3 linked regions of the Pelodiscus sinensis genome follow. The protein of the gene in region 1 interacts with the protein of each later gene in a biochemical or structural test. Links are inferred from orthologs where the notes say so. Each region holds a gene or a part of one and is shown in the gene's direction. Other genes may lie near its edges.

The links.
Region 2: the proteins of SNTA1 (region 1) and RPS6KA1 interact in a test that uses a peptide from one of them, tested with the Homo sapiens proteins (2 studies listed by BioGRID and IntAct, with this or other methods). The link is inferred for Pelodiscus sinensis from reciprocal best matches to the Homo sapiens genes SNTA1 and RPS6KA1.
Region 3: the proteins of SNTA1 (region 1) and solute carrier family 2, facilitated glucose transporter member 3 interact in a test that uses a peptide from one of them, tested with the Homo sapiens proteins (2 studies listed by BioGRID and IntAct). The link is inferred for Pelodiscus sinensis from reciprocal best matches to the Homo sapiens genes SNTA1 and SLC2A3.

Annotation. Positions count from the first base shown.
Region 1 is NC_134728.1:33,977,895-33,985,899, reverse strand, and holds the start of SNTA1 (alpha-1-syntrophin), read left to right. Parts: upstream 1-4,993; 5' UTR 4,994-5,121; coding exon 5,122-5,392; intron 5,393-5,617; exon of another isoform or gene 5,618-5,755; intron 5,756-8,005. UniProt on the Homo sapiens protein: Adapter protein that binds to and probably organizes the subcellular localization of a variety of membrane proteins. May link various receptors to the actin cytoskeleton and the extracellular matrix via the dystrophin glycoprotein complex.
Region 2 is NC_134735.1:2,049,231-2,056,824, forward strand, and holds the start of RPS6KA1 (ribosomal protein S6 kinase alpha-1), read left to right. Parts: upstream 1-4,594; 5' UTR 4,595-4,689; coding exon 4,690-4,752; intron 4,753-7,594. UniProt on the Homo sapiens protein: Serine/threonine-protein kinase that acts downstream of ERK (MAPK1/ERK2 and MAPK3/ERK1) signaling and mediates mitogenic and stress-induced activation of the transcription factors CREB1, ETV1/ER81 and NR4A1/NUR77, regulates translation through RPS6 and EIF4B phosphorylation, and mediates cellular proliferation, survival, and differentiation by modulating mTOR signaling and repressing pro-apoptotic function of BAD and DAPK1.
Region 3 is NC_134711.1:132,856,073-132,863,640, forward strand, and holds the start of solute carrier family 2, facilitated glucose transporter member 3, read left to right. Parts: upstream 1-4,568; 5' UTR 4,569-4,787; coding exon 4,788-4,802; intron 4,803-7,568. UniProt on the Homo sapiens protein: Facilitative glucose transporter. Can also mediate the uptake of various other monosaccharides across the cell membrane. Mediates the uptake of glucose, 2-deoxyglucose, galactose, mannose, xylose and fucose, and probably also dehydroascorbate.

The DNA of each region.
Region 1 (8,005 bases):
CTTGTCTTCTGTTCTGATACAACATGTCAAGGCTGTTTCCCGCTTTGCACTTTGAGTGCAAAAGCAGGTGGGGGCCCACAAGAGACTTTAAAATACCTTGCCACTAAAGGCTTGCTTTAAACTTCCCAACGCTACAGATTCCTCTGCTTTGAACTGGCATCAGTGCCACCACTCAAACGCAAACACCCTTTGAGGACCCAGGAAGGCACGCCTGAGAATTCCTTCCTGTCAGGTACCCTTAAGCTCTTTTACCCTCTTTCTGGAGAGAGCTTGAAACCGAGCCGCTGAGATCAGCTGAAAATGGAACTTAGTTTCTCTTAATAGTTAGGCTGTGCAGTCTTAGGCACGTCCACACGGAACCTCCTGCCTTCTAGGACACAGGAATCAGATCAAGTTCTTGAAAGGGTGATTTTTATTTAAAAAAACCCAACACTTTTGGTAAGACATTGCTCAGTAACACCTGGCAGCCCAGCCACTGAAAAAGGATTAAAAACACTGAAGTGCTTCCCTGGGATTCAGCTTGGAAAGTTACAGTGTAAGGGGCTAGTTAAATGTGCTCAGCACAGAGAAATCCAACAAACCTGAAAATCGCCTGACTGGGTCTGACTAAACATTCCCTGTTCTACTCACATATCTGTAGTTTCAAGACTGAATGCTTCCGTGGGCATAGGTGTCGCTGGATTCTCCAGGCCTGGCTCCTTCCAAGGCCTCTGCTGTGGTCACACAGGAACAAGAAGGGCTGCTGCGTCCAATTCAAAAGTTCATACTCTTTTCATTGGTTCTCCTGGTCAATGTTCCCTCTCTTTCCCACCCTTGTGTGGAATAATTTTTTTCAAGTCCACCAAGGCCTGTGTGAATGTGCACCACTAGTAGAAACACAAACCTACTGTGGGCACTGTGCCAATCAGCTGGGTGGCATTTGACTCTCTCCTGAGAGGCCGCACAAGCACACAGCTTACAGGAAACACTGCTGCTGGTCTCTTGCCAACGCACGGCTTCCCTAAGCATTCCCGAGGGCTCTGGGACTCACTGTCTATGGTTTAATCCTTCTAGGCAAGGGTTAGGGTTAGGTCTAAAGAGTTACCACTACTCAGTAAAGACTTTAGCTAACGGAATGGCTGGAATGTCCGGAAAATGCTGCCTCCCCATTCACCGCAATAGCATTTCTAGAGTCATCCATGCTAAGGCTGTACGGGGCCACTGGGGCTAGCTAGGCTACCCCTGCATAACCCAGGCCGATGGGTTTCAGTCCTTCCCGCATTGGTCCCAGGACCAAAGTCTGAGCTTGTCTGAGCCCTGCGTGGGGAGGGCCAAAGCCAGAGCCCCACTGCCACGGCAGGGGGCCCAAACCTGGAGCCCAAGGGCTTGAGGCCTGGGCGAGGGGCTTGTAACCTGGGCCCTGCTGCCCAAGGCTGAGGCTGAAGCCTGCGCCCCACCAGCCAGGGCTTTGGCCTCAGGCAGTGGGGCTCAGGTTTCAGCTTCTGTCCTGGGCCCCAGCAAGTCTGAACACCAGGCTTGGAAAGCCCATTGAAGCAGGGTCCTGACCCGCAGTGAGAGCTGCTGATCTAGACCTACATGCAACAGTGCACTCAGGTAAAGGCCTGTTTGGGGGCATCCCTGCCTGGCCCAGGGGGCGGGGCCAGGGGGTATTGCTATTTGGGCACCTACATAGCTGCCAGATTTTCAAAAGAACTCAGCACCCACGCGGCACCCTTAAAAAAACCCGACTCACTTCGGTGCCTGAACAGGGCCCTGAACGATTGGAGATGGCGGCCCAAGGTATGAGATTCCCTTACCAGGTGACCCCCTCTCTTCCCCAGTATTTATTCATCCCTGCACCCCGATGCTGACTGGGAGTGCTTTCATGCCGGGCAGCATGGGAAGGGAAATCAGTTGCCGTCTGTCCAGAGGTCGCACTGCTCGCTCTGTTAAAAGTGCGCTTTGCTCGCGGGGGCAAGTCAATTCCAGCCTGGTGTGGGCTGGATGTTCAGAGAACCGCTGGTGAGCGGCACTAGGGCAGTCAAAGCCACCACGGGAGGGCTGCTTGGCAGGACCGCCTGCTGCGATCGCTTTGGCACGCCCAGAATCGGCTCCCTCCACACCTTCAGCGCAGCCTTTGCAAAGGCGGTCGGCTTTAAATGCTCCCTGTTCTTATACAGCCTCGGTGGGATTCTTGCCCAGAGATGTCTCCAGTTCTTGCAGTTTTATGAAAGAAGCAAAAGCTGGATACAGTCAAACCTGGCCGTGGGCCCCCCCTTTCCAGGTGTATTCTGCTTTGCTTTCCGGTTACATGGATCTGCTGAAGGCGGAGAGCAGGGATCGTTTGTGGCTGTATGATCCTGCTGGCATTCTGCTTTGCTCTCAGGCCTAGTTCAGGAGTCCTGTGGAGTCTCCTGTACAGCCATGAATTGTTTGCCTCCAGGAGAGGGAAAGCTCTGCTGGGGAGGGGCTTTGTGGACAGCTGCTTCTCCACATCTGTTCTGTCCTCTTTCCAGGCTTCAGGGGCAGGCCCTCTGTGCAGACTCCTCGGGGCCTGGCCTGGGGAAATTGCCAGACGAATACCTGGGATGCACACAGCATTTTTTCTAATACAAGGCCGGTCCCTAGGGATTCCTGTCTCAAAGAACTGAAAACACGTGAGTGAATTGACCCGAACGTTCCTGTGAGGCAAGTGACTATTAGCCTAATTGTATAGCTGGAGAAACAACAGCACCAGGAGAAGGTCCGGGTCCTCCAAAGAGCTTAGGGCACTGTGTATTCATTTGCATGGAATATAGGGCCCAAAGGTGTTAGGCTGTGTCTACACTGGCAGCTTCTTGTGCAAGAACCCTTCCAGAAGAGAGCGTCTGCACTGGCATGTGCTTTTGCGCAAGAGCATCCATGGCCGTATGGACGCTCTCTTGTTCAAGAAAACTCCGATGGCCATTTTAACCATGGGGCTTTCTTGCGCAAGAAATTCATGTTGCCTGTCTACACTGGCCTCTTCTGGAAGAGCTCTTGCGCAAGAGGGCTTCTTCATGAGCGGGAGCATCAGAGTTCTGGTGCAAGAAGCCCTGATTTCATACAGTAGAACGTCAGTTTACTTGCGCAAGAACACGCGGCCAGTGTAGACAGGCAGCAAGTTTTTGCGCAAGAGCGTCCGCTTTTGCGTGAGATCGCGCCAGTGTAGACACAGCCTGAATGCATCAACCAGGCACTTGACCAACATTAAATGGTTTCAAATAAGGGTTGTGGGTTGGGGTACGCCAGCGGCCACCAGCCAGTAGACTGGGATCTATTGGTAGATCCCGGAGCCTCTGGCAGGTCATCCTGACCGGTTTGGCCGGGAGGCTCTCAAGCACTAGCTCTTCAGCTGCCCCTCTCCGCTCAGCCACTGCTTCTGCCCTCTGCCTTGGAGCTGTTCCCTGGGAGTGTCCTGCTGGCTGTGCAGGGTAGGAGAGGCAGAAGAGGGGGTGCTGTCAGGGTGTCCCCAACCCTGTACCCCAGCTCCACAGAGTGAGCAGGGTGGGGCCTTGGAGCCCGGGCGGGGTGAGACTACAAAGCAGCCCAGGTAGAGTATGTGAAATATAACAAAAGGATTTTATTTGATTTTTTTTAGCTGGGGAGAGTTTCTAGGAGGAAAATCCTCCTGGTCCAGTTTTAGATGTGTCAGAGCTGGCAACAAATGTCAACAAATGTTTGGGGGACGGAGAAGAACTGAGGTGAGATGGGTTGCTGCTGTAATAGTCCCATCGCATTTCCTAACATGAAAACACACACACAGGGGAAGGGAGAACACAGCTTCTGCCCCTGCTGGTAACTTTCACTCGCAGCCTCACTGCCCAGCATGGGATCCTCTTAGTCACTCCGAGGCCTGGCAAACTTGCCCCAGCATCAGACTGTTTAGATCATAGCTTTTAGCTGCCTTTTTTTGGTCACAGGCTTAAAGCAAAATATGTAGTCTTGGCCGGGAAAGCGGGACAATCCTTAGACAGAAGGAAAAAAGGGCAGGGTCAGGAAAGAGAAGAAATAAGAAGGGAAAGGACAATAGTAGGGGAAGAGACACAAAGCCCCTCACGCCAGGCCTTGTTGGGGTTCAGCTGGAAGTGATGAGGTCATCTGGGTCCTTCTCTGTCTGCTCAGGACACCCTTCCGCCTACCACAAAGACCTTCCAACTCTCAGGTGACCAAGTGGGGTGGCAGCCACAAGGGAGCAGCTCACTTTTTTCATTTCTCTCCTCTCCCAATGGGTCCAGGACTGTGAGAGCCTCCAGCTGTTGGTTCCTACAGTCTCCTTTAAAAAAAAAAAAAAAAGCCCCCAAAGGAGCACTGGGTGGCACAGCCCATCCTTTTAGCACTTTGTTCACCAAGAGGGTTAATGTCCGACACCAATTTCCGCACCTTGCGTACTGGTATTAGCTCTCAGGCCTGGGTTCAGTCTTGAGCTATATTAGTTGGCCTTTTGGCTTGTGCTCTGCCTTTTGCCTTCCTCCCTGTGACATTTATTGCAGCAGGTGACTGTGATAATTTAGCAACTTTCACTCACGTTTCACAGCGGAGCTTACACTGGGGTAAATGTGCAGGGCCCATTATTACAACAGCTTCTACCGCCACTGAAGGCCACGGGGGCTGACAGTTTCCTGAGTCTTTAAAGTGCTACCAGACTATGTGCTGGTTTTAAGTTTCCTTTAGCATTTCCAGGGTTGGCCAGGCAGCTAAAAGCGGACGGGGCCGCGGACCCAAGAACCCCAAGTCCCAGTGCCCTGCCCCCCTGCCCTGAGCCTTTGTCTGTGGACATCTGGACAAGCTCGCCCGGGTTCTGCCTGCGTCTAGCCCTAGCGGCCACCTGATGCTCGGCTCGGGAGGGAGCTGCCGGCCACGGGAGGGGGTGGGGGCTCGGGTCTTGGCTGCTGACACCGGCCCCCTGCCCGAGAAGCGGCGCGGCTCCGAGGGAGGGTCCGGGCGGTGCTGCCGCGGCGCGGGGAGGGGAGAGGCGTGTCCGGGGGCGGCTCCCTGGGCGGGGGCGTCTGGCGGGCGGCCCATGTGCCCGGCACCGCCGGGGGCGGCGCCCGGGGTGGCTGGGTGCCCGGTGCCCCCCTCGGGCCTGGGAGGCGGCGCAGCTGTCCCAGGAATGCGCTGAAGATGGCGGCCGGCAGGCGAGCCCCGAAGAGCGGGCTGCTGGAGCTGCGAGCCCCGGGCGAGCACTGGCTGCGGGTGCTGCTCACGCTGGCCGAGGACTTCCTGAGCCTGAGCCCCGCCAAGGGCGCGGGGGCCGAGGAGCCGCCGCCGCCCGGCCCGGCGCAGCTGAACGGCGGGGAGCCGTGCGCCCAGGTGCCCGAGGCGCTCGCCAACGTGCGGCGCACGGTGCGGATCGTCAAGCAGGACGTGGGGGGGCTCGGGATCAGCATCAAAGGTGAGGGGCGCGCGGCGCCGCGCTCAGCCTGGCTCCGGGCTCTGCCCGCGGCCCCGAGCCGCCCGGGGAGCTGGCTGGTGCCTGCCCAACTTCGGCGCCTTCCCAGGGCGGGGCGCGGCGGCAGGTTCTGCCCCGTGGCGCCGGGGCCCCGGCGGTAGCTCGGGCGCATCAGCCGGGCGGGCGGCGGCAGCTCCCGGCCCAAGTGCACAGCCCGGGCCCTGCTCCGCGGGGCTTCCCACGCGCGAGCAGCGCCCCGCAGCCGGGTGCCGGCGGTGGGCAGGTGCGCCAGGCGTGGCCGGCTGGAGACGCGGTTCCCTCGACTGGGCTGGCGCGGGGCGGGGCGGGTGTGAGCATTCCTGCAAGGTGAGTGTGAACCGGAAAGTGCCCTGAGTGGGCAGTACCTCGGGGGGAGGGGCGGGCCAAGAATTTGGTGAGTGGCCGGGGGCTGCGCTTTTCATCAAGGGCGCCCTTGGGCGCGGGAGGGGGCTGGGTTCAGGCCTGGGGCCGGGCTGCAGTGGGGGTTGTGACTTGGGGCAGGGTGTTGGGGTCCATGAGGGGGTACCAGGTGCAGGCTCTGGCTGGTAGGTGCTTACGTTGGTGGCTTTCAGCTGGTGGCCTGTGGGACTGTCAGGCAGGCTCCTTGCCTGCTATGCCCCCCCCCCCCCCACACACACCGTGGCTGGCTGCTGTGGCCAGTGTGTGTGTGTGTGTCTGCATGGTGGCCCCTTGGAGGGGGTGCAGGGTCTCCACGTGCTGCACGTCCCCACAAGCACTGCCCTTGCCATGCGGAGTCACTGGCTTCAAGAATGGGAGGTTTTGAGCTGGAGGTGGGGTAGGCAGCCAGGGAGCCTGCCCCAGGGTCCCGCTGGGTCGCAGCTGGCTGCAACCAAATGTTTGGGGCTGGATTTTGCCCACCCTGGAGAAAGCGAGTGCATGGAACGTGTCTAAGCAGGGTTGGGTTGGATTGAACAGAAAGGTTAAATTGGCGGGGGTGGGAGTGGGGGAGGGGGAAGAATTATTCTGTACTAAGCTATTCCCTGGAATGTAAAGGAGCTGAGCAATGTTCTCCCCCTACATCCCACGTAGTTCAGGTCAAGTCACATTCGCTGTCTTTTCATTGTTAATTTTGCTGTGGTTGTGTGTTTCCCCACTGGGATGCTTCTGTTGCTGAGGTCGAAGGATGTTTTCACATTCTTTTGTTGGCATTGCAGCCTGGAACAGAATTCTGTGTCAAAATGCCGTCACCCATCCAAATGTCCATACGTAAAACCCCATGATTCATTGCACTGAATGAGTCTTGCAGGTGCACCATTTCAGAATATGGGGGGCGGGGGGCAACCTGTATGTGCCAGGATGGGTGGGGCAGAGAGAGTGAGAGCAGGAGAGGCAGGCAGACTGAGGACAGCAGCTTCAGCAGTACAAGCTAAGCACCAAATGGGGGGGGAACCAATTACTTCTGCCCTCCCCCCAACCCCACGTAATCTCTATCTCAGGGCTGCTAGGGCACGAGGAAACTGCTTTTTCTGGCAGACAACTTAGCAGGTAGCAGGAGCACTGTATCCAATTCCTATATAAAAGAAAGAAAATAAATATTAGCCCCACTCAGCTCTACCACTAACGTATTCTGATAACTTGTGGAAAGTTGCTTAAGGGACACTGGTTGGCTGGAAATGTGAATGTCTGTTCTTACTTTACTAACTTTGGGGAGAAAGACCGACCCCGTCAGGACTCCTGGGCTCTCTCAGCTTGGGAAGGGGAGTGGGGTCTAGTGGGTTACAGCAGGAGGCAGATATTTAGGGGCTGAAATGTAAGAACATCAGACTGGCCAGACTGGGTCAGACCAAAGGTCCTTCTAGCCCTGTATCCTGTCTGCCGACAGTGGCCAGCACCAGGTGCTTCAGGAGGAATAAACAGATTAGGCTTCATCATGATCCATCCCCTGTTGCCCCTTCCCAGCTTCTGACAAACAGAGTCCAGGGACACCATCTCTGCCCATCCTGGCTAATAACCAGGGCTCGACAAACTGGCGAGAGCTCCTCACCAGGCCTGCACCGTGCATGCACGAAGCGCCGGTGAATGGGGCGCACGGAGCGACCGGCTGCAACCTACTCACCTGGGCAAGTAGAAACAGCGGCTTGTGGAGACCTGCTAATCACCATTGATGGACCCGCCCTCCTCGATCTTAGTGTGTTCTTATTGCAACCCTGTTACAGTTTGGACTTTCCCATCATCTGGCAAAGAGGTTCCACAAGGGCTTTGTAGACCTTTCAAAGTTTTGGCCCAAGCGAGGGGGCTTGGGGGCGTCATTTGAGCTCCCCGCCTCGGGTGCCAAAATGTTGTGGGCCGGCCCTGCCCACCCTTTAGTCATTTCTTTTCCAAGCTGAAGAGCCCCCGTCTTGTTGATTTCTCCTCCGATGGAAGCTGTTCCTTACCCCTGATCATTTCTGTTGCCCTTTCTCTACCTTTTCCATGTCCAATAGATCTTTTTGTAGCTGGGGTGACCAGATCTGCATGCAGTGTTCAAGATGTGGGCATACCGGGCTTTATATAGACACAATATGGGATTTTGTCCTCTTATCTATTCCTTTCCTAATGCGTCCCGACGTTCAGTTA
Region 2 (7,594 bases), on another chromosome or scaffold:
CTGTAGGTTTGTTCTTAAGTTGAATCTGTATGTAAGTCGGAACTGGCGTCCAGATTCAGCCGCTGCTGAAACTGACCGCCAGTTCTGACTTACATACAGATTCAACTTAAGAACCCCAAGTGTCCCCAAGTCAGCTGCTGCTGAAACTGATCGGCGCTGATTCCAGGAAGCCTGGGGCAGAGCAACTCTGCCTCGGGCTTCCTGTAGTCAGCGCTGGTCAGTTTCAGCAGCAGCTGACTTGCGGACGCCTGGGGCAGAGCAGCTGGGGTGCTGCTGGGTTGCTCCAGTAGCGCCGCTCCTCGGCGCTACTGGACCAACCCAGCAGCACCCCAGCTGCTCTGCCCCAGGCGTCCTGATTCAGCCGCTGCTGAAACTGACCAGCAGCGGCTGAATCAGGAAGCCTGGGGCAGAGCAGCTTGGGTGCTGCTGGGTTGGTCCAGTAGTGCCCAGAGCGGCGCTGCGGGACCAACCGGCAGCACCCCAGCTGCTCTGCCCCAGGGTCCGGCAACAAAAGCCTGGTCTGCTGGGGGGGGCACACTAGCTGCGCCCCCCCCCCCAGCAGACCAGGGACACGGGGAGCAAAGCCGCAGCGGCAGCGGGGTGCCGCGCCTCTGAGGCTTTGCTCTAGCAAAGCCTCAGAGGCACGGGAACCAGCCGCCACTGCGGCTTCGCTCCGGTGCCCCTGGTCTGCTGGGGACCGTCTCCAGCAGACCAGGGGCACCGTGAGTGAAGCTGCAGCGGCGGCGGGTTCCAGCGCTTCTGAGGCTTTGCTCTGGCTGCTGCGGCTTCGCTCACGGTGCCCCTGGTCTGCTGGAGACGGTCTCCAGCAGACCAGGGGCACCGTGAGCAGCTTTTCTCGCCCCGGAGGTCGAGGTGGCGGATCGCTGCCTGTGAGCTCCGGGGCGAGAAAGCCCCGTTTGTAAGTGCAGATCCGACATAAGTCGGATCCGCGTAAGTCGGGGACTGCCTGTACCTTACCCATTACAAAGATCGCTTCCCCAATTATCACCTCTAATATCATTAGCTCACAGACATTTATCTCCCCCCCCCCATCCCTCTTCTGTTCTGAAATTTGATTTGTCCTTTTCATGGTTCATTTTTTAAAATTGTGTCCTTTGGTATATATGGTTGTGACAATTTTCTTCCACTATTTGATCTGAGGAAGTGGGTCTGGCCGACGAAAGCTCATCACCTAATAAACCATCTTGTTAGTCTTTAAAGTGCTACATAGTCCTGTTTTTTTATCTAGAAGTCAGTGAGTGTCTATTTAAAGGGCTCTGAAGATTGAGAGTGGGCTTTTCAAAAGCGATCACTGCTAACCGAATGCTACTCCCCTGAAGTCTGCCCAGGCCAAGGAGAATGCAGGATCTGGCCTTCGATTTTCTGCTTTGGGACCAGAAACTGTATTTTGCTGCTTTGTACGTTGCTGCATCTTAACAAGCAATAGGAGAATACTTTTAGCTCCCCCATTACTATGTTTGACGCTTAGCGGTACCTATCTTTAAAAATATTGTTTACTTAACTAGCAGTTTGATCATGAAATACAAAAAGTAGTTTTGCAGAAGTTGGACCAAAAAGAGCAGAGTGTTACATGTTTCTACTCCAGAGGGATAGCAGATAAGAACAGCAATTTCTAATTAATACCTTACATTCCTAAAGCTCCTAGAAACCCCCAAAACTGGATATGTGTCAGTGTCTCTACTTTATAGAGAAACTGAAGAATGGGACTTGCACAAGGTTGAACAATGGCAGACTAAGAAAACTGAACCCAGATTGTCAGCCTGCCCCTCTCTTGTTCTAATCACTAGCCTATTCTGCCTTGCACTAATTTAACTTCACAACCCCCTTCTTCTTAGGGTATTTTCCAGTGTTATAGACACAATGAAGGCAGCACACATACAACTCAACTCAAAGTTTAGGGGAAAGATTTTTCATGAGACACATAACAGCTGGAGAGTTCATTCCAGCTGGGCACAGGTGCTTGCAGGCACTTTGTGTGCCTTTGAAAATCTTCCTTACAGTCAATCACTTTTACCAGTAGAAATATCTACACATAAAAGTAGGTTACAAACAGTGCTTAAAACCATCCATAATCATGAGCGGCTTTAAAATGTAAGGAATCCAGGGACTCCCATGAATACCGTACCTTCTATAAGTGCTCAGTTATATATATTATATATATTTTCGTATATATTAATTAGGGAAGATCTTGTCACCGACCATCATTACTACTCACCCAATGCATGTAAATGCCTATGCACAACCATTGAGCTTTGTCTTAACATATAGGCTACGTCTACATTGGCATGATTTTCTGGAAATGCTTTTAATGGAAAAGTCTTCCGTTAAAAGCATTTTCGGAAAAGCGCGTCTAGATTGGCAGGACGCTTTTCCGCAAAAGCGCTTTTTGCGGAAAAGCGTCCATGGCCAATCTAGACGCGCTTTTCTGCAAAAAAGCCCCCATCGCCATTTTCGCGATCGGGGCTTTTTTGCAGAAAACAAATCTCTGTTGTCTACAGTGGCCCTTTTGCGCAAAAGTTTTTTGGAAAAAGACTTTTGCCTGAACGGGAGCAGCATAGTATTTCCGCAAAAGCACTGACAATCTTACATAAGATCGTCAGTGCTTTTGCGGAAATTCAAGAGTCCAGTGTAGACAGCTGGCAAGTTTTTCCAGAAAAGCGGTTGCTTTTCTGGAAAAAGTGGCCAGTCTAGACACAGCCATAGTGCTACCATATGTTGAAATACTGGCCTGTTTCGTGTCTTCAATTGTATGTATCTTTTGACAGGTTGATTCGATCTGTACTCCCTCTGCCTATTTTGGCCAAGAAATCTTGAGGCTCCACCTCTATTTCCTTCTGCTTAATGCCTGACAGACCACAGAAGTGATTTTGCTGGGTAATCATGTTCATACCCTCTATCCCCTTCCTTGATTCTGACCTTTGTTTGCCTCCACTTCTGCTAACTTTATTCCTTGGCCTTGCATTCTCCTTTTCCTCCTACATATAAGTCTGTACATTCATAGATCTTAAGGCCCACGGACACTGTGAGGATAATCTAGTCCAACGATACTTCTTGTGTAACACAGACCATAGAACTTTAACCGGGAATTCCTGCATCGAGTTCTTATCTCATGGACAAGGATGTTTTTGCTTTTAAAACATCTGGTTTTGATTTAAAGACTTCCAGTGATGGGGAATCCCTTGATAAGTTGTTCCAGTGATTAATCAGCTCTGACTTCATCCCCTCTTATCACTTGTTCTCAGCCAGCCTCCACCTCAGAAATGGCTTAGCCCAGCCCTGGTTAAAAATAAATATATTTTAGAAAAAACTCAGATACAAAACTACTGCCCCCAGTTTTCCCCTTGTGGAGCCTCTGACCAAGCAAATGGAGGGGAAATAAAAAAGGGACTGTTCTGTCTCTTTTCTGTACTTTGGTAGGTAGAGCAACCTAGTCTAGTGGATTGACTTAGGTAGATAGAGCCACAAATCCCTGCCTGTAGATCCTGTCTCTGACACTCACTGGCCAAATGGCCTTGAATAAACCACTTAGCCTTTGTCCACCCTGAGCATTTCCTCTTTCCATTTCCCAGCCTTGCTACCACTGGTGTGACCTCCTTTCTGGTGGGTATCAGATAATTGATCTCTAGATGACAAGGAAGGTTGCTACCACCTTCAGTTGACTGACGAAGTGCCTGTGGGATAGCAAGAAACTGTCACTAAACATCAAGATACAGCTCTACCAGACATACATTTGGAGCCCGTTGCTGTATCGTGGTGGGCCACCTGCTGCAGGCGTAAGAGAAGGCAAAATACCTTTCATTCTTACTCCCTTCAGAAAATCAGGTGGGAAACACAAGACCTTGACACCCCAGTACTTCAGAAAAACAGAACGACCACGTCTGATCTCTGGTCTCAAACATGTAGCCACATTTAGCCATCTCCATTAGACTCTGTCATCTTCTGACCCAGAGGTTTGTGCCCGGAGCCCTGCATAGCAACACAATTTGTATCTGCATCTGTGTCCCCCAAAATGAGCCTCAGATGCCCACGCCGGCCCGTGGCTGCGGAGAACCACGGATAGGAAGGAGAGAACCGCAAATGGGCAAGGTCCTAGATACGCAATGGGGGTCCACAACCCCCAACTCCGCAGATGCCGATTCCCATGGCTTATAAAGCAGATGCCCCCCATTCAGGCCGGGCCTTCTCTGGGGCAAGGACTATGGAGGGGACCTACTGAGGCTGCATCTTTTCCTCAGGAAGGGGCCTTTTTGGCCACTCCTGGCGCTGCAGCATGGGCCCTGGTGCCTGATTCTTCATCCCCCCGTGCCGAGGCCTGACAGCCCCCTGGGGCGCTGGGGTGGGGGCAGGTCTCTCTGGGCCGGGCAGCCCCTGGGAAGGAGCCTTTGGGGGCCCCCGGAGCAGGGGGCAGAGGTGGGGTGCGGGGGGGCAGCCGGGAAGGGCGGGGGGAGTTTGTGGCCCCTGCGGCGGAGGCTGCGGGGCGCCCCCGGGGGCGGGCGGCGAGCCCAGGCTCGGCCCGGGCGGGGCCCCGCAGCCAATGGGGCGGCGGGGGCGGCGCCGGGGGCGCGGCCAAGGAGGGCGGCGAGCGGCGCGGCGAGTGCCGGGGCTCGGAGCTGGCCCCCCAGCCCGTCTCGCCAGCCCGCCCCGCTCCCGGGGCCGCCCGCCGCCGCGATGCCGCTCGCCCAGCTGGCGGACCCATGGCCCAACATGGAGCTGGTGCATCTGGACCCGGAGGTGCGGGGGGGTCCGGCTCGCTGCGGGGGGGATCTGGGCGCGGGGGGGCAGCCCCCCGGTGCCCCTTGCACGGCGGGGTGGAGGCCACTGGAGCCCCTGCCCGCCCCCCTGCCGAGCTGGGGCTGAGCTAGAGACGCGGCTGGGCGAGACCCCAGGAGGTGGGGGGCGGGCGGGATCTTTACCCCTCCTCTGGAAAGCCCGGTGGGGGGGGGGGTCAGCGCTTAGCAGAAAGTGCCGGAGTGTGTGTGAGTCTGTGCATATGGGATGTGGGGGGGGGTCTGAGTGTGTGTGTCTGTGGGTGGGGGGGTCTGAGTGTGTGTGTCTGTGGGTGGGGGGGTCTGTGTGTGTATCTGTATGGGATGTGGGGGGGTCTGTGTGTGTATCTGTGTATGGGATGTGGGGGGGGTCTGAGTGTGTGTCTGTGTATGGGATATGGGGGGGTCTGTGTGTGTATCTGTGGGTGGGGGGGGTCTGAGTGTGTATCTGTGGGTGGGGGGGTCTGTGAGTGTGTCTGTGTATGGGATGTGGGGGGGTCTGTGTGTATCTGTGTATCGGTGTGTGCGCGCGTGGGGTGTGTGTGTGTCGGGGGTGTGTATCTGTGGGGGAGGGGTGTTGTGTCTACACACACATCCAAAGTTTCCCGTCGAACAGAGGAAGTGCCCCGTCTCCTTTTCCACCCACCTCTTCACCTCACCCCGCGGAGGTGTCTGGCAGCTGAGCCCTGCCCCAGGCTCGCCTGCTAATTAAAGCCACCACGGCCGCGTACTTGATCAGATGAATGCAATTGGGGATTCCGCACCTCCCCTCTCTGCTCCCACCCTGCCCCGCAGGCGCGGAGACGGTTCATTTTGGGGAAGGGGGGGGCAGCCACTTCTCACCTGATTCAATCAACATGTCTGCAAGCAGGTTCCAGGTCTTCTCACTGGAGCGATTGATTGGAGCAAAGAGGCAGGTTCCCGGTAATCCTGTGGGTTTTGCCTGCTGCCCTGGGCTGCCAGCTGTAATCCCCTGCCTTGATTTGGCCTCTCTCACTGCGGGATTTAGCCTGCTGTGCCCCTCTGGGGGTGACCCCTTGTGGGTTTACAGCTGGCTGTGCAGCCCAGTCCTGGGTTAGCGTCAGTCCTGGAGCAATCTTTGTGCTACCAAACCCCTGGGGGAGGTTCTTCAAGTTCTACATAAAAACAACAAACCACAGATATTAGGATTGTCTTGCCTGTACTTCCTCAGCCTTAGAGCGGAACTAACTTCCCCCAAAAGTGTCTTTTGTCTGCAGCTCTCTCTTAAGTGTGTCAGACTCTTGCCACACACGCACTGCTAATCCGACTTCCTGAGGGGCTGTTGGAAAACCATCCAGCAGCTAGACTGCATGCGTTGTACTGATCTGTCAGATCAGCGTGTTGCTCACTCCTTATGCTATATATGACCCTAGGTTATCTTTTTTTAGGGATGGGGGAGTATCTAGTTTGCAGGCTTGGCAACCTTTAGGAGCCTAACTAAACCCAGCAAATGCTCTGAAGTGCAGAATGAAATGGGGGAACTCTCCCCTTCTCTCTGAATCTCCCACTGTTTAGATCTAGGGTCTTTCCAAACGTGGATGAAAATGCAGTCACCGCTCCAAAGTCCCACATCAGAACCTCCACATTAGTTCTGCGCGGCTTCCCCTCCCCATTGGCACGTCTCGAACCCATTGCTCGGAGGGGCACGTGTCTAAAATTCCCAGGTGTTCTGTTGCGCATAGGCACTCCTCCCTCGCACGCGCGCCTTCCCTTCCTGCTTACATTGCCACCCCGAGTCACCCTGTCCTTGTGTTTCTCTGGACAGGCTAGTGCATGGGCCACCACCGAGCACTGGTGCAGGCTTCTGCTGTGGAAATTGAAAATAAAGTGTTTGGTATTCAGCGTAAATGCTCCTCAGTCCCCTGCGGCTGAGCTCCTAGTAATGGGAGCTAGACCCAGCTGCTTTACTCCTCGGCTGCTTTTTCTCAGGCCCTGATGCTCCCCTTTTATGCTGAGATGTGAGCTGAGAATCGGCCACCCCACTCTCTCGCCTCAGGCAGCTGCACAAGTCAAGGTTCCGCTCAAACAGGCCAGCCCCAAACACTTAACGTAGCCGCTGGCGAGGTCTTTCCTGATGGTCCCACTTCTCAGTCCTTGGCCCCGGGTTGGCGCCACCGAGCAATGACAGTGACAAAACATGTTTTGTCAAGAACATGCCAGGGTTCCAGCTGGCCCGTCTTTGCCAGCCAAGCCCACCGGGCTGGTTAGTAGCAGCGCGTGGGTCTCTAGGGTGCATGTGTGTACAGGAGTGGGAGAGGGAGGAGTTCCTTGTTCCACACTGATTTGACCCTGATGCCTGGCAGTGTGCGGTGCTTTCTGGGCTGACTTTTGTGACGAGTTGGAAGATGGCGGTGCCACAGTGCTTACGTTCGCATTTTTCTCCCCTTTCAAATCAGACAACCTCATAGTGCCAGATTACTTCCTACAAACGCTCGCAGGAGTTCAAATCAAATACCAGTGTCCATGACATGCCCTACTGCTGGCAGGGTTGGGATTTACTGCCTAACCCTCTGGCCAGACAACACTGTTGTGTGGAGCTTGCCTGTCTGCTGAATGAGTCAACCTTGCTGGAGCTGTGCATTTGGCCTGAAACTGGCGTCTGGGTTGGGTTTTTTGTTTGTGGTGGGGTGGGGTGGGGTGGAGTCCTGTGTCCAGGCTGTTTGGATACCAGTCTCCTAAGTGAAGTTTGTTTCTTATGATGGAAGAATGAGAAAACGAATGAACTACAAACTGAACCTCTCTAGTCCAGCACGCTCGGGCCCTGACCAGGGCTGAACCAAGGGGCG
Region 3 (7,568 bases), on another chromosome or scaffold:
CAAGGAGAGAAGAAACAGCTGATGTATAAACACAACCCCCTCCCCAAACAGCTGTCAGTGCCCCTCCCTTCTGCCCTGCAGCCCCCCTGCTATTCCAGACATAGGTTCCCCATACAGCTTTGCCAAAGCCCTTCAGTCGTTTCTAGCTGTCCCCCCCGCTACCCCTATCCTGAGGTCTGAAGTGTGGAGTGCAATCCTTGCCATGATTTACCTGTCACTCATGCCTATCATAACCTGTCATGCTCATTTCTGTGATATTCGCTCATGCCACCTTTTCCATTGCCAATTTACTCTTCCTCAGATGCATTATCTGCCGCTCCCCCTTTCCATTAGCCCCTCTGTGCAGCTTATATGCTTTTCACAGCCCGACACCAACAGGAATTTAGCCTGAGAAACAGAGACGTAACTAGGCATTTTAAAATCTGGGGTAAGCAAGTACATTTGTATCCCCTCCCTTTTCCCCCCCATAATTGTTTTAGGGTGACCGTATTTCTCTAACGTAAAAATGGGATGTTGGGTGAGCAGCAATGCCAGGTAGCATGGTCTTACCCATATGGAGTCATCATTTGCTGTTTGCCCTGGTTTTGCACCCTGGGCCACTGCCCTGCTCAGTCTGCCCTGGTTATGGCCTTGTTGGTCAGCGCCTTCCATTCACAGGGACTGCGCTTATTGCTTTAAATTGAAAGAGGGAAATAAAGAGGCAGAGACAAATGGAAAAGGATATAAAAAGTAGCAGAAATAGAGAAAAAAACCTCTCACACATATACCAGAGAGAAGGGTCCTTTTCTTTTACATAAATAACACTAATGTATTCCACAACCTAATTACATTAAAAGCTAAGCATTAGGTACTTGCTGCCCACTCTATTAACCTCATTTAGCATGGACACCCTGACAATTATTTTCCTATTTTTTTCCACCTCTTTCCCTCCCCACTGCCTCTCTTTCTCTGCTATTTATTTGTCCCCTTAACCTCTTAACTCCAGTCATCTGAAGGAGTGGGTTGTGTTCACGAAAGCTCATGACACCATCTACATGTTTTGTTAGTCTCTAAGGTGCTGCAGAACTATTTGTTGTTTTCTAAGTTTTTTCAGTTACAGACTCACCCAGCTACCCCTCTAAGATTCATATTCTCCAATAATCACCCCCAAACATTACAGTATTGCTGTTGGAGAAGGAATGGGGTGGACCAATACTGGAGTGCCGTAGTACTTTTTATAAGTGATAGATAGACAGATTAGATGGATTGCAGGATGCAAATAAATGGGGAGGGAGGGAGACATGCCGGGGAGAGAGAGGGCTTGAAGAGGGACAGACAAAGAGGGGAGATATCAGCCTGTAACACACAGTTGCTGCTTCCAGGCCTCCCCTTCTCTTTTTGCTACTAGGCCTGGTTGCCCTGACAACGTCAATCAGGAAAAATTAGGCTTGTGCCCTAGATGCTAAGAAGGAGCCTTTTCCAATTAGGGCAATCAAAGAAGAAGAGGCCTGGAGAATTGAGAGGGAAAAAGAACCTCAGATGACCTTCTGGTCAATGTCACGTTTCACTCGTAGCAGAGAGTGGCATTCGGAAAGCGGTCAGTATCGTCACTCTGAGGGCGGCCTCACTTTGACTGTGGTTTCCTGGCAAGCCCTGTGCAAGGCTCTGCAGACCTCATGCTTGTTTACATGTTGCTGGGTGCTTCTTTCCGTCATTATAGAAATGTGCAGTGTCGGTGCAGTGGTAATGCTCTTTGGGTTTAGGTATTCTGCTAACTCACTTTGTCTGAAAACAGGGAGAGCTCTCTCTCCCTCTGGTTTGTTCTGCTGGCATCCTTTTTGCTCTCATTCTTCCACATCCATTTTTTTCTCTACATGTCCTTCTTTCTATTATCACTTCTCTCCTCTCCACTTCCACCCCCTCCTCTGTTCCTCCTTTTCCTTCTCCACCTCCTTCTGATTCAACTATTCTTATTTTTCCCCTTTTCTTTCTTCCCCTCCTTTATTCTTTCTCCTTTTATCTCCCTATTATTCTCTCTTCTGCTTGTCTGCTCTTCCACACTCTGTCTCTAATCACCATGCTGTCTAAGTACTAGGATCTTTTCCCTCTCCTCTCCTCTGTCTGTCCATTATCCTTTCTCTTCCTTGCCATGTTTCCCTGTTCTCCCTCAACAATGGAAGTTACTATATTTTCCAGGGAAAGCACAAGTCCCTACACACAAACTCTCTCGGTCAGGCCCAGCCTTAGGGCAAGGTGAGCAAGCAGGGGCAGATGACAGTTTCGCGGGGCCCTGGGCATCATAATTCCGCGGGGCCCCCCCTTTGCTACGGCGCATGCGCGGGGCTTTCTGAAGCACGGGGCCTGGGGCGACTGCCCCGTTCGCCCTGCCCTATATCCGCCCCTGTGAGCAAGACAGTTGCCTTGGTCCCCACACCTTCAGGGCCCTCCGCCCGGCCACCTGGCAGCTTGCTCACTGCCCTGGCTGGGAGCTGCCCGGCCACACAGTGCAGCCAACCACAACATGCTGCCTTGGGCCCCGCAAACTCTTTGGCCTGGCCTACTCTGAGTACATCTACACAGCAGCGTTATTTTGGAATAACTGATGTTTATTCCAAATAAACAGCGTGTCTACACTGCCAGCCTTTATTTCAAAATAATCTCGAGCTAGAGGACTTCTTACTCCGACTACAGTAACCCTCATTTTACAAGGAGTAAGGGAAGTCAAAGGAAGATTGTTCTTCCTTCAGGTTCCTGCTGTGTAGACAGTGCCTAATGCTGAAATAAGCTATTTTGACTTACGAGTGTGTGAAGACACATGACATGCTCCTGACCCCAGGGTGGGACACAGCAGGACGCCCTCCCTTCACAAGCCCCCTCTATACAGAGACAGGGGACATCTCCTCCCCAACACACACCCACACTATATACAGCACAGGGGCATGGATGTAGTCCCGGGGCAGCTCACACTCCTGGGGATAGCAGGACATCCCGAACATGGCCTCTGTGCAAGCACATCGGCTCTGATGGTGCGGAGACCTGTCGTCCTCACCTTGCAGAGAGGGGCTGGGCTTCACCCTGTGTCTCCAGGGAGAACTGACCACTTCTCTTGTTTCTCCACAACCACACCAGCTGTGAGTGCAGGGCGCACCACCCCGCCTGGGACATCCTCCCGTACAGTGGAGCACCTGGGGGCACTGAGAGCCCTGCACCGCACCCTTGACCACTGGGTGCAGGAAGACCTGCAGCTCTGGCAGGAGCAGCTTGCCCAGGGCCATGCCATCTATGAGCACCTGCAGACCCTGGTGCAGAGCTTGCTGCTTCCTGCTGCTCCAACCTCTGCTGCCTCCCCAGCTCCTCCTCCCACTCCTTCTCCTCCTCCCACTTCTTCCTCCACACCCTTCCCACCCCCCCAGGGACGCCGAGGCCCCTGCACCTGCGGTGCTGGGAGACAGTTGGACTGGCGAGACCTCCAACCCTGAGCCCTGAGTTTCTCCTCCCCCTGCTTCCCCCTGCCAGCTCCCTCCTCCCAGGTTTCCCCCTCCCCTCTCCCACTCTTCCTCCTCCCCTCTCCCACCTTCTTTCCCCAGTTTCACCTCAGTTTCATTCCCCCTCACCCCAGTTTTGTTCAATAAAGAGGCTTTGTTGTAATGAACACGTGTCTTTTATTGTACAGCAGGAAGGGGGGTTAGGGAGGGGTAAGTGGAAGGATGTGAGGGAGGAATGAGGCACAAGCCCCCAGTGGGGCACACCAGGGAGACTGTTACTGCCTGCAGAATGTGCTTCCAGGCTCACAGCAACATGTCCAGGAGAAGCACCAGAGTGCCCAGGGGCGGCTCTGGCTCCATATTGCAGAGTGCTGTGGTGTACTGAGTGCGGGCAATCAGAGCTTACAGAGAAAGAAAATGCTTTGCTGTCCCTCAGGGAGCTAGGCAAGCAAGCAGGGAAACCTGAGAACTGGCTGTCCAGGGGGGTCCCTTCAAGCACAGGTCTCAGATAGTCTCAGGCAGCAGCCACGCAAGGTAACTCCTGAGCTGATGCCCTGCCAGAACAGGTTCCGGATGGCCTTAAATGCAATTCAGCATCCTATCAGTGTGGATGCACTATTTTGAAATGCATTTAGTGTCTAGACATATAATTTCAAAATAAGATATTTCGAAATAATGCTGTAGTGTAGACATACCCTCTCTCTCTCTCTCTCTAGCTAGCTGCCATCTCTGAACACAGTGCAACATTAGTGTATAGGGAGCTTTTTACACAAAGCATCATAATTTTATTGCTATAGATTTTCATGGCACCAATAGCATGCTAAATCCTCACCCCTCCTTTCTAAAATGCTATTTGGAGTTAAATAATAGAAGCCATCAAAATTGGAGCCGAACATTTTCTGCCCTCCTGAGGAATGTTTTGGGGGTTTGTATCTGTGAAACGTAAGAAGGGCTGTGCTCAGACTCATACACACATATGCCTTTTAAGAGGAGAAAGGAAACTGTCTTATCTAAATTTCCAGTGAAGTCACAAAACTGTGCAGGGTCACAAGACTGTTTTTTATTTTTTTTGTGCTTATTATGGACTTGGGCGGGGTCTTGACTGGCTCACTCGCACCTCCCACAGAAGCCATAAATAGATTGCTCTAAAGCAGCTTCTAAGCAGAGAGATATTGCAAATTGCACAGAGCAAAAAAAATTACAGCGACCTTTTCAGATATTCTGTTGTGGGAAACAATTACACAGCATCTAAGGGATCTTCAGCGACTTCGTTAAGAAGGGGGCAGTGGTGTTGCAGTGTCTTCGAGGCATTTGCCAAGGACCATGGAGAGCAAAAAGGTAACAGCAGATCTTTTCCTCCTACCATTTATATTTTAACCTATTTGAATGCCGTTGCATGTGTTCATCCATCATTTATAAACTCTGGGTTAATGCTACCCAATTTGTCTGGTTTGTGAAACCTTTGGCCTCTTGTTGAAAATGTTTTGAACCATAAGGCAACCCTTTGCAGAATGTGGCTTTCTAGATAACATCATGGTGTTTGATTATTATTACTCTGGGTTTTACTACTTTCTGTTGTTGTGTTGAGAAGATGAAAGCTCTAAAATCAAGCACTAAACTTGCATGTGCGATTATTATTTAAGGATGGGACTGAGAATGCACATTAGGGGGAGGTGAAGACATTTATGTAGGATTGTTGCAAGTCATGGCATTCGGTTGTTCATATTTTTAGGGTTGTAGTTTTTAAAAGTATTACTTTCCTTGTCGTCGTTTTATTTGGCATGAGATCTGTTGTGCTGGCCGAAGAGGAGCCATTTGTCTTCAGGTTGACCAGGAGGACAATGTGTTCATGATAAGAATTTGACAATTCCTCTAGGTTTTTGAAATGAATAGCCTTTGGATTTCAACCAAGAGAACATGGCAGGCTTAGTCCCGCTCACAACACTGAGCCAGCAGGCTAGAGAGCCTTTGTGGACAGTATTATTGATGTGTGTCTATGTGTGCTGTGCGTATTAATGAGTGAACTAATTAATTGCATGTGTTTAAAAGCATCAAGGAAAAAATCAGGCAATGGTGGCTGGGGAAGAGAAAGTGAGGAAGGTTGAGTGTCATTAAATAACTGATTGATATCCTCATTGAAGAATATCTAGGGGTTACTACTATTTTAGGGATATTCATATAGCCATCAGCTTATAAAGCCAACCCTTTCTTTCCCTTTTTCCTGGGAGAAGAGGACAGTGTGAGGGCATGAGGGAGGGAGCTCTGAACAAGCATCCCAGTCAAGGTCGTTAAAGGAGAGTAAAGAAGTGGCCCCAGTTGAGGTCACTGAGTGATACATCAATGGGTTTCCAGCCAGTAAAAAAAGAGAACACTGAGGGGAAATGTCAGATACCCTTGTCGCCAGTTGTGAGAGGGAGGGGTATGGGTGGGATTTTGAATTCCCCGCCAGTGTCTAATCCTCAACCCTGCCACCATGGTTTGTGTAGATCCCGGCCTGGTATTTCTGAGCTCTTTGGCTGGAGAGAATACACAACAGATCATAGTCCAACTCGCTATAGGATTGGATGGGGTGAGACCATGTAATGTATGCTGGAGGGTGAGACTGGCTGTGCAACACTAAGTAATAGATGAGAAAAGGCAGGAGGCAGGGAACATGGTATAGAACACAGGAGAGCTATACTATATATAGTATGTGTGTATGTACTATGTGAGCAAAGTATGCCTATGCTGTGTAGGGCCCTGACGGGTCCGGTGGAGTTGGAGACCAGGCCTGGATATTGAGTAAGACATGACAATGCAAGATACTCTTTTGGTTAAAGCACTGAACTGAAAAAATGGTTTTGTTCCCACACACACTGTAACAGTTCTCTGTACCTCGGTTCCTCATCTGTAACATGGAGGGAATAATAATTCTTACCTCATAAAGGTGTTGTGAGGATAAATCCATTCAAATAGGCAAGGCCGTCTTGGAGGAGCGGGGGGCACGGGGCCTGGGCAACCCCTTCCCCAGTGCCCCAGGCATAGGGCCAAGAGTAGCCTTTCACCCATAGGACTGTCCCTGTCCCCATTCCACCCTTTCCCCCAAGCTTTGCTCCTGCTCTGCCCCTTCCTGCCCCGACCCACCTCCTTGCCCAAAGCCCCCTCCCCGAGTGATGCGCAGGGCAGCAGCAGGAGTCAGCCCTCCTCCACCTCTATACACCACTATGGTGGGAGCCACAGTGGCCTGGCAGCGTGAGCCACTCAACCCCACGGCCTTCTCCCAGCCCACTGAGCTCTTGAATTCACTGTGGCCATGGTGAAATGGAGCTCAGCAGGCTGGGAAAGGGTGACAGGTTGGAGCCGAGCAAGCTGCCTGGTTGCTCTAGCTCCTGCCACTGCAGTGAGTGGGAGTAGGAGGGCTCCCCATGCCAGACCCCTCCCCTAATGTAATCCCTTGGGTCCCACCCATAGGATGGTTGAGGTGGCTGCCGTGGGACCCCACAAAGTGCAGGGCCTATGGACTCTGCATAGATGTGAGGCAGTGACGTGCTAACCAGTGCCCCTTGAAAACCTCTGCATCCAACAACCTTCTAAGTGGCACTAAGCTAGCCCAGGCCTTTTCAGAACCCATTGGCCCCCAGGGAATGAGAGTGCTAAATGTGAGTCTTCTCTATCTCTGCATGGAAGGGACCAGTTCTGACTTGGTAGCACTCCCAGTCTGTGTTGGCCCCAGGAGAGGGAATCAGAAATTGGGAGTGGTGGTACTACACTAGTCTCCATGGGGTTCCCAGTCCTCATTGGTCTTAGACAGTGACAACTTGGACTTGGAATGCACATTGTTCACACCTTTGGTAGTGATCCCAGCGAATGAGAAACCAGGGTAGGGTATTAAGGATGGAACTACATAAGTGTTGCCAGCTTAAAGCATTGAAAAATTATGAGTCAGCACCCCAAAACTGGCATTTTAAACAATGAAAAATGTTGGACATTTTATATTTGGTATCTGGTTTCTGAACCCTTAGAGTTCCCATGGGTCCCAGCTTTGGTCAGCATCCACAGACTGGGAGAGGGCGGCAAGTTGGAGCGGAGCAGGAAATGTACTTTTTACTTTAAAGAAAATTGAGA